3 linked regions of the Rhinolophus ferrumequinum genome follow. The protein of the gene in region 1 binds, or shares a complex with, the protein of each later gene. Links are inferred from orthologs where the notes say so. Each region holds a gene or a part of one and is shown on either strand. Other genes may lie near its edges.

Region 1 (3,750 bases):
AGCGGAGGCAGCCCTGGAGCTGAGGAACAGCTTTGATTTGGGGCAGAATTGGCGAGTCCATGGCTTTCTGATCAACTTTGTGCTGCTCTGTCAGCTCATATTTCTCTTTCTCTGTGTCAAAGATCTCGCCCTCCTCATGTCTGGGCTTGTGCAGCTTCTTCTTCTTGAAGTAACAACCATCAGTGAGAGATTTGGGGATTTTCACACCACACTGATATCAATTTTGGTGGAGGTGGCGATGACAAATGTCTGGTGTGTTCTACCCAGAGGAACTCGATGAAGGGACAGAAGTCCAGTCACTGCCCAGCTGCTTCAGGAAAACCACCCTCTTGCCTCTGTGGTGCCCAGTGAGGATGACCAGAATGGTCCTGGGAGTGAGGCTGGACCCAAGTGTTCTCACATGCTGACTGAAGGGTTTCTTGCCAGTGACTCAACAGATTTCCAGGCAGATCTTCAATAGGATACTATCTGGGCATTTTGTGACGTTTAATCACTCGGGTGCCACTATTCTTGTTGCCACCAACTGGTTTTGTGCCAGTAGCAAGAACCTTCTTTTTCTGTTCAATCTTGGATTTAGCTGCTGAATACTTCCTCTTGTACATGGCCTTCAGGGAACACATAGCCGATGGAGAATAACTGCCGACTTCTCCGACCAGGACAGGGTTTCAGCTGCGGTGGGGCTTCCCCTTCTTAGGTGTTTTGCCCTTGGGTTACTTTTCTTAACCCTGCCACCAGCATCAGCCTGCTTGGCTTCAGGTTTCTTCTCCTTAATGCCGGGCTTCTCACCTTTTTCACCCTCCATCTTGCAAGACGGGAAAGAGCCTGTCCCCGATTTTCCTTGGTTAGCTTCACTATTTGTTCATTGATTTTTTTTTTTTTGCCCTCTCTCTCTCTCTTTCTCCATCAAAGGTTTAATTATCGAACAAAACATACCGTGTTTCTCCGAAAATAAGACCTAACCAGAAAAGAAGCCCTAGCATGATTTTTCAGGATGACATCCCCTGAACATAAGCCCTAATGCATCTTTTGGAGCAAAAATTAATATAAGACCCCGTCTTATGTTCGAGGAAACACTCCATACATTCATACCCTTTCACATTTACTTACAAAGCACCTTCCATCACTTACATCTCATAACACGCTGGAACACGCTGGAAGGGCAGTGGCGAGGCGCGTGCGCCCCCTACCGACGCCCAGGCGCATTGCAGTTTTGCCGGCGCTCAACCGCTAGGGTCCCGCCTGTCAGAAGCTCCAGAGAAGGTCCAAGTGCAAGTGTCCGCGCAGGGCTTCCTGGGAAATGTGTCGGGTGTACATGTCAGAACTGCAAATCCCGGTAGGCACCGCGCTGCGGCCCGGAAGATGAGGGCGCTCGGGTGAATCTGAATCTCGCTTGTCAGTGCCATTGGGAATGCTGCACAAGCTGCATTCAGTATTCGCCGAGGTTTTTGGGAAACGTAATAGTTCTTCCGCCAGGTGCGCACGAATGGACTTTGCTTCCGTAGCTTCCTCGGACTCGCTGGACGTGGCGAATCTACCGTGGTGGCACAGTGGTTGGGCGCGCAAGGCCCCAACGTGCAGCTTGTGTAATCTGCTGTGGGAAGGACGTCTGGGTTTCTTGGGCCGCTAGTCATGGCGGCGACAGCCCCCAGTGCCGGGGGCCCCGCGCCCGAGGCGGCCGGCTCCGCCGAACCCCCGCTGCAGTACAGCCTTCTTCTGCAGTACCTGGTGGGTGACAAGCGTCAGCCCCGGGTCCTGGAGCCCGGAAGCCTGGGCGGGATCCCGAGTCCGGCCAAGAGTGAGGAGCAGAAGATGATCGAGAGAGCGATGGAAAGCTGCGCCTTCAAGGCAGCGCTGGCCTGCGTGGGAGGTGAGGCAAGGCGAGGGGGACCCTTGGGAGGCTGAGGGCGTGGATGGCAGCGGGTTCCTCTGCCAAGAAGACCACGCGCCCGGGAGGCGAGGAGCCTGTGGGCCTCGAAGGGGACTGCACCCCGGCCTCGTTCAGGGAGCTCGAGCAACCCTCTCTAGACCCTCTGGAAACTGGATCAGAGAATCGGTGCTATGGGTCGGGGCCTGGAGGTTATAAAATAGTTGACTTCATTCATCATTCGGTCATTCACTTTCAAATAATCATTCTTTCAAAAACTTGTTAGTGGGTAGGTATCACGTGCCAGGCGGTGGAGAGACAGGGTGAGAGACTAGAGCTTGGTTCTCAGGAAGCTAACACCCCTCTCTATATATCCGAGGTGCCAAAAAAATGTATACAAGGGGACACTTTGGTCAACTGTTGCTCAAGCAGTAGTAGTTCACCATAACCAGAAGTGTCTGGACGCTGATGGTAACCACTTTGAACACCGCTTGTAATTGCAGACGTTAAACGTGACTTGTATTTATCTTTTGTTATCGGTATGTATTGAGTATTACAATTTTAATAGTTTTTCCTTTCTTAACATGTGTATGCATTTTTTGTGGCATTCTCTGTATATCGAAGAATGTTGAGGAGCCTGGCAGAAGAGTGCAGCAGACATAGGAACGAGTGCAAAGGAACCGGCTTTAGTTTGAAAAACAGAAAAGGCCAGTGTGGCCAGAGTGACTAGACAGTAGTGAACAAGGGGGAAAGAAGTATGGACTTGGCTTTTTCTTTAGCCTTGTGAGGATTTGAGAATGTGGTGTCCTTCCTGTGTGGAGGGTAAGGAGGTTGACCACATTTGCAGATGAGTTGAAATCTCATTAAGAATGAAAGACAAACGAATGTGGTGAGAGTGGAAATGTGAAATATAGTAGAAAGAAGAAAGAGAGAACTTTTTGTGGTTTGGGGAAGGCCGCAAGAGGAGGTGAGACTGGAACTGTTGAAGGATGGAGAGAATGGGGTGGACACAGAGGAAGAGAATTGTCATTTCAAGTTGGGGGTAAAGTAGGGGATTTGGGCATTTTGTCGATAGGCATTAGGACAGTCATTGATGATTTTTTTAGAAGAGTAACAACTGGTAATGAACATCGTGATTCAGGATGGGGTGGGCTGAAGGAAAGAAGTCTGTGGATAGGGAGACCATATTGGAAATTGGCTAGACTGAAGCTCATGAGGAATGGACTGGGTCTTTGTTCATCATTGTGTTTGACCCTGATAAATCACATATTTGGTGAAATAAATGAGTCTTTGTAGTGCTCCAGGTTGGAAGTGATCAAAACCCTAGACTAGGATGATAATTGTGGACTTGGAGTTGTAGGGCAAACAAAAAAACGCCCCTGAGGTTTGGAGCTGGAGTGACTAAAAAGAAGGGGCAATAACAAGAAAGTCTGGAAGGGAGGTGACCATGATTTCATCAAACATATACCGTTTACCCTTGAACAACATGGGTTTGAGCTTCATGGATCCGTGTATACATGGATTTCTTTCAATATCTGTCCTGTTTTCGATCCTTGGTTGGGAGTCCATGGATGTGGTCAGCTGACTGTATGCATTGCTCTACACCATTTTATATAGGGGACTTGAGCACCCATGGATTTTACTATCCATGAGGAGTCTTGGACCCAATCCCCCCGAGGGACAGCTCAGTTTTTGGGGAGTCAAACGTTATATGTGGATTTTTGACTACGGGGGCCTTGGCACTCCTAACTCCAGCATTGTTCAAGGGTCAATTGTATTGGCCTGGAGGTGATGAGAGGACATCCATATGGAAATGTCCAGCAGGCTCAGGAAGGTCCGATGTGGACAGCAGTGTGGCGTTTGCCATTTGGTAACTTTGTGACTTC
Region 2 (2,887 bases), on another chromosome or scaffold:
ATTTGTAAAAAGAAGGGAGTTAGATAAGTTAGGAAAGGCTACTGGAATAGGCCAGGGTTTATGAGTTGGGATTCCTAAATTGAACAATAAGGAGAAGAATCAAACAGATGCACCTGTTCCAGCCCATCATCCTCAGGAAGCTGCCCAGCTTCGCCGTTCCCATGGATGGGGATCTCCATTGTAGCTGCCTTCCCTAGGATCCCGTCCGTCATGGCTAGGGAAGGGACTGGAGTCAATGTCTCCACCCCAGCGCCCTGCAAAGCCCAACACAGATAGTTCTGGAAATTGGCCAGGACCACAGAAGAGAAATGTCTCCCCTACCGTTTCTGAGGTTTTAGAGGTTGTCCCAGGGGTAGAGTGTTCTGGAGTGTGGCTACCACTCCTTCCCTCAGATAGTGCGAGTATATGTACCTCTTCCCTCCAAGGTGCATATTTTTACACATGCTCAGGTGTCTTCTCATGACTCTCCAACTTCACCAGGACTCCGATGATTATTCATGCATTCGATCATTCAACAGACATTTAATGAGTGCCTACTATGTGTCATGCACTATTTGAGGCCGTGCAACACAGCAGTGAACCAGACAAAGACTGTGTTCTCCTGAAGCTCACCCCCACCCAGGTGTTTCTCCCCATCAGGAGATGAACCCCTTTCCAAGGCTCAGTATGTTCTCCATCGCTTAGCCTTTCAACACCCCTTTAGTGTTTCTTCCCCTTTCCTTCAGACCGTTCCCCCCTTCTCCATACCATGCACCTTCTCTTCCTCGGGCTCTTCCCACCAGGCCTTAGTTGATTCAGTTGGTTTATGTTCCCAGCCTCTGGGAAAGCCTCTTTTCCCCAGGACATAGGTGATGGCTTCCAAAGTCGGTTATGTTTCCCTAGGTGTGTTTCCCCCACCCCCCACCCCAATACACCTGGGCATCAGGTGTGTCCTCATCCTTTCCCAGGCTCAGAGGTATCTTGCCCTCAAGACAGGTTCATGCATTCAACTTCCCCTTGCCCAAGTATGGCCCTCTCACCTGAGGACAGGCCGCTCTTCCCCTCAGGGCGCCAGGCCCGGGCCGCGGGGGGACCTCGGGCTCCAGCTCCCGTCGCGATCCTAGCAGCAGGTCAGGGACTCGGAGGAAGTGACGTCCTCTCCCGGGCAGAAGAAGCCAGCCACGTCGCAGATTATAAGGGCGGAGGTGACGTTAGCAGCCGGGGGCAGGACGATCCTTGAGTCAACCCCTCAGTCCCTGGGGATGGACGACAGATAACTTCCGGGGCGTTACCGAGAAGCTGTAACGGAAGTGACGCAGGACGTGAGCTTGTGGCGGGATGGAGCAGCAGCAGCAGCAGCAGCAGCAGCTGAGAAACGTGAGTGGCAGCTCATGTGGCTTCAAAGCCCTACATTCAACTGTCCTCGCCGTCTGCATGGCGGGAACCCCAAAAAGCTAGGGATCCGAGGGCTAGGGACATCGGGCTGTGGTGCGCGGTCCTGGTAAACTTCAAGGCGCGGCCTTGAATTCAGGTGTGGGCCCCCTTATAGCTGAGTTCTTGGTCCCCTTCTCTCCTAGTTGCGGGACTTCCTGTTGGTCTACAATCGGATGACGGAACTCTGCTTCCAGCGCTGCGTACCCAGCCTGCACCACCGAGCCCTGGATGCCGAGGAGGTGGGGGACCGAGTAGGGGATTACTCTTCATCCTCAGAGTTAACCGTAATCTGCTTCCTTCCTTCCTCCACTGCCTTTGGCCAGGGCCTTTCCATGTCCCTCGCCCCTAGGTTGGAGATGGGAAGGAAGGAAACGGATCTGACAGGACACCTTTGGCCCCTGTTTCCACCCTGTCTTCCTTCCAGGAAGCCTGTCTGCATAGCTGTGCTGGGAAGCTGATCCATTCCAACCATCGCCTCATGGCTGCTTATGTGCAGCTCATGCCTGCCCTGGTACAGCGCCGCATCGCAGACTACGAGGCTGCCTCAGCTGTGCCAGGTGTTGCTCCTGAACAGCCTGGAACCTCGCCATCAGGCAGCTAGCCATCCCCAACCCCAGGAAGGGAGGCACTGGATGGCCCCTCAAATTGAAGGAGCCAGTGGACTGAGTGCCTACTATGTGTCATGCACTATTTGAGGCCATGCAACACAGCAGTGAACGAGACAAAGACTGTGTTCTCCTGAAGCTTATCCCCACCCATGTGTTTCTCCCCATCAGGAGATGAACCCCTTTCCAGGGACCTTGCTTGGGCTGGGTCCAGCCTGTATATAGAAAGTGAGGGCTTGCCTGAGAGCTGGGTACTGTGGCTCCAGGAAGAGTTAATAAACCTGCTTTTATTCTGTTTGGTTTATATTTTGGGCAGGGAAGCTTTGCCTACTTTATTAGCATCATCTTTTATTCTGTCAGTTAGTGAATATCTGCTGGCTTTAGCCCTGTCTGCAGAGAAAGTGCCTTCTTTGTATGGACGCAAACCTTAGCATTCCCAGGCACCTGGTTAAAGCAAGGTCTGTGGGTACAATTTTAAGGTTGGTAATAGCAACGGGAAATTGGTTCCTGCCCAGATGACAGAGAAAATGGGAGCTCTGTCTAGCTCTTCTTCACATAAATCTGACTTTAATGGCTCACTTGTGAGCCAGGTGTGCATTCATTTATAGCTATTTTCTTGTGGACTGTGTTTTACAGGAAGGAATTCTGCCAGATTTAGGGAAAGGAGGAGATGTCTAAGGACAGTAGATCAAGAAATCACAGGGTTTTTAGGCACTACCTACTGGGAAATCAGTAGCTCCAGGACAGAGATGAAACCTGTAAGAATTCAGGGGTGTTCTGGAACTTCAGCCATTTCCCCAAGTTGTTACTTTCTCACTATTTCCTGTCTTCCTGAATGAGCAGTAAAACCTTTAAGCAAAGAAGGTCTG
Region 3 (3,536 bases), on another chromosome or scaffold:
ATTGCATTTTTAAATATTTATTTCGTTTTCAAATTTTATTTATGGCTAATGATAGCAGTACTTAATTTCTGGCAGGATATTATCAGGATCAAGGATGGTGCTGTGAATTTGAAAATTAACTGAGAGGGTTGGGAGTTACAGTTTGAATCTTGGCTCTGCCACAGTCTTGGAAAAATAACAAACTTTTTGAACCTCACTTTTTCCTTTGTAAAATGAAAATGCTGACTTGGAAAACACTCCCCTGCCCCCAAAATAAGGATAAAAATTACCATGTGTCGCATGCACCCATAGTACGAATGGAAGGTTCAACTACCAAAACTTAATAGCAAAGCACACGAATACAAACATGGTAACAAAGCTGGCTGTTTCATCTCCTGGTTTTATTAACTAGCCACAGGCCACCTCGTTAGTCTCATTCTTCTAATAATTTAGTTTTTAAAGTATGATTACCATAACCTAGCTAAGTACCAGCTATGCACACTAACATATTCCTTTCCATAGGATTCTGTTTTCAACATTACTATAGTATAACAAAGGCAGAGTCTGATTCCATATAGACTTCCAGTTCAGAAAACGTTTTATCCTTCCAAGTTTCTTTAATATCACTATCAATTCGCAAATGGTAAAAAGCAGCTTGTTTTTGCAAAAAGTTTCCCTGTAAAATCCAAACAGTCCTACAATGTCAATCTCTAGTTTGGTATTGCTTATGTAAAATGTTACCATTTGGGGGAAGCTGGGCAAAGGGGAAACAGGATGTCTCCGTATTATTTTCCGGTTTCCTATGGGACTATAATTATTTCAACATTAAATTAAAAAAAAAAGTTACTCATGAACATGAGAGTATAAACATCACAGCTAAAAATTTAAAACAATAATCTGAAAGGCCTGAGAGATATACTATACCTCCAGGGGACTGTGAGGCCAAATGAAATAGGCTTACTTATGTGTAAGGCTCATTACAAATTCTGGCAGTGATAAACATATGGTCGCTCTGCTCTCCCAACTCCTAGACCAAGAAGGCTCTGAATTAGCTTCAGCTAACAAGGAACGATGTGAAAGGAAAAAAAGACCCCCTAATTATATGAAAACCCAGCGGGGGAACACTCTGCATGTTATTCAGTCACTCTGCACTTGAGGCTCACTCACACCAACTGCATAATCCGGGCAAAAAGTCTGCCAGGGCTCGTAGCTGCGTTGGGACCTTGCCCTCACTGTGTTTCATCTTGGGCCCTCCGACTGCATAAGCAAGTCGACCTGGCTCAGGGCCAGCTTGTCCTTCTTCTCCTTCTGCAACACCTGCTCCTCCCACAGCGCCTGGTCCACCTGATCGTTGGTGAGCACGACAGGCAGGTATTTCTCGTCAAAGAGCCGCTCGTTGGCCTCCGAGTGCAGCTGATGGGGCCCGACGACGCGCAAATGTGCCGGCAGGTGGAGGAACTCGTCGTCGTTGATGTCGCTGTCGCGCATCCGAGCCCCCAGCACCCACCAGCGGCCCACGAAGCCCACGTCCAGGATCCGGTCCGGGAACTCGTCCCAGCGGGGTTGCAGGTAGCGGCAGCGGGCCTGGTAGAGACTGGCCTGGGCGTCGTAGGGCGCTTCATACACCAGCGAACAGAGGCCCAGGTTCACGTGGCGCAGGCAACCGCGGCCCCGCAGCCAGAGCAGCCGCTGCACGTACGCTTCTGAGTCGCGATTGCGCGTGGCCGGCGCCAGGAGCAGAAGGGTCCCCGACGCATCCAGCAGCGCCTCCTCGAAGGATGCCTCGCTGGGCGCCAATGCGCAGCAGGCCGCCGCACCGCCCAGCAACCCCACGTACACGGCCGCCCTTACTGGCCGGGCCCGCGCAGCCGCTGCCGCGTCCCCGCAGGCCTCGGCGTAGTCCCGGAGCAGCGCGCGGGCCCAGACGCCTAAAAGGAGAGAAGCGCGGTGAGAGAGGTCCAGCCGCTGCGGCTACCTTTCCCTCTGCTAGCGGCTACTCACCCAACCGCGCCCACGCGCCTGGCTTAGAGGCCGCCGCGTCCTCCACCTGTCCGCGGCTTCGCGACCAAAGTCTCTTCAGAGCGGCCGCCGCCATTCCCTTCCGGCTTAGCGACCGTTCTCCGAAGAGAAACGCCAGGTGTTAAAGTAAATGGTCCGGGCAGTCTTATCTGCGCAAGCGCTAAAATTGCCGGAAGTGGCTTCCCATCGGAAGAGGATAGAAGACGGACAGGCTCCGGATGTTGCTCTCTGGGCCGAGCTGGATTGATTGACCAGTAGGCGGGCCGCGCAGGCGCAGAAACCCCTGGCCACGCGAGCTGAGACGGCCTCAGGTAAAGAGGGGGGTGTTGCACCTGTGGGGCAGGGACGGCGAGTTCACGCCCGGGTGAGTGCGGTTAGCCGCCAGGCCCGGCTGGGGGCTGACTCCACGAAGGGTGCCGCGTGGGATTGCGGGCGGGCCTGATTGGCCTCTGTCCTCAGAGCGAGGTCCGGTGATGCCCCTGAGCGACCATGGCAGCGGCCGACGAACTAGCCTTCCATGGTGAGTGCGGCTGCGACCTGGCCAGAACCTCCTATCCAGGTCCCAACCCATATCTAACAGGAGCAGCAGTCTGTTGTAAACCCTGACTCCAGGCATGAAACCGAGCCCTAACTCAAACCCCACTCCAGCCCTGAACTCTGACCTCAAACCCAGACCACTACCCCAGACCTGACCCCATCCTAGAACCAGCCCTCAATTGCAGTCCCTTGTTAGGAGTGAGAGAACACACCTTCCTACTCCCCAAAATTGGCCAGGCCCTGAGTTGGGGAGAGCACTGGGATGACCGTGGTTAGTCTTGGACCCCAGATGAGCAGTGGACCAAACCCAATTGTCTTGACCTCATACACATGCCTGTGTCCCATATTTATTCTCGGTAGAGTTCGAGGAAGCCACTAATCTGTTGGCCGAGACCCCAGATGCGGCCACCACCAGCAGAACTGATCAGCTGACCCCACAGGGGCACGTGGCTGTGGCTGTGGGCTTGGGAGCTGAGGATGAGGTGGAGGAAAATGACAAGACTTCGGTGAGTCACATAAGTCCCTGTGCCCCGCCTCCGTCCAGCCCCCCGTTGACCCAGGCTGGAAGGGTAGTCACTGAAAGCCCGCACTGTGCAGCTTCTACAGGAGGAGAAGCAGCAGCCGGGATTCTGGACCTTTGACTACTATCAGAGCTTCTTTGACGTGGATACCTCGCAGGTCAGGCCCGGGAACCTTGGTGGGAGGGGCTCAGAGTCACGCTTAGGGTTCAGCTACTATTTACTGAGCGCTTCCTGTGCACCTGGGCAAGTTGCTGGAGATACACATGTGGAGAACAAGAGCTTACACCCAGGCTAGCAGAAGTAACAGGTGCACTATGAGGATTATGACGCTATAAGGATTATGACGTGATGACGGGGGCTTTTGGAAACACGGGATGCGCCTGGTATGTTAGGTTAGAGAAAGGCCTCCTGGAGGAGGTGAGGGATTTGCTGAGACGTAAAGAAAAAGGAAGACGTGTCAGGGCAGAGTGGAAGGAAGCA

The links.
Region 2: TIMM22 (region 1) and TIMM10B share a complex: the UniProt entries of both Homo sapiens proteins name them as parts of the TIM22 complex. The link is inferred for Rhinolophus ferrumequinum from reciprocal best matches to the Homo sapiens genes TIMM22 and TIMM10B.
Region 3: TIMM22 (region 1) and TIMM29 share a complex: the UniProt entries of both Homo sapiens proteins name them as parts of the TIM22 complex. The link is inferred for Rhinolophus ferrumequinum from reciprocal best matches to the Homo sapiens genes TIMM22 and TIMM29.

What each region holds. Positions count from the first base shown.
Region 1 is NC_046304.1:17,139,681-17,143,430, forward strand, and holds the start of TIMM22 (mitochondrial import inner membrane translocase subunit Tim22), read left to right. Parts: upstream 1-1,357; 5' UTR 1,358-1,629; coding exon 1,630-1,867; intron 1,868-3,750. UniProt on the Homo sapiens protein: Essential core component of the TIM22 complex, a complex that mediates the import and insertion of multi-pass transmembrane proteins into the mitochondrial inner membrane. In the TIM22 complex, it constitutes the voltage-activated and signal-gated channel.
Region 2 is NC_046294.1:45,327,779-45,330,665, reverse strand, and holds TIMM10B (mitochondrial import inner membrane translocase subunit Tim10 B), read left to right. Parts: upstream 1-1,270; 5' UTR 1,271-1,317; coding exon 1,318-1,356; intron 1,357-1,556; coding exon 1,557-1,652; intron 1,653-1,837; coding exon 1,838-2,014; 3' UTR 2,015-2,311; downstream 2,312-2,887. Other genes in the region: ARFIP2 (arfaptin-2), read right to left, coding at 114-212. UniProt on the Homo sapiens protein: Component of the TIM22 complex, a complex that mediates the import and insertion of multi-pass transmembrane proteins into the mitochondrial inner membrane.
Region 3 is NC_046301.1:39,497,953-39,501,488, forward strand, and holds TIMM29 (mitochondrial import inner membrane translocase subunit Tim29), read right to left. Parts: upstream 2,188-3,536; 5' UTR 2,075-2,187; coding exon 1,981-2,074; intron 1,908-1,980; coding exon 1,219-1,907; 3' UTR 577-1,218; downstream 1-576. Other genes in the region: protein YIPF2, read left to right, coding at 2,488-2,518, 2,896-3,041, 3,133-3,213. UniProt on the Homo sapiens protein: Component of the TIM22 complex, a complex that mediates the import and insertion of multi-pass transmembrane proteins into the mitochondrial inner membrane.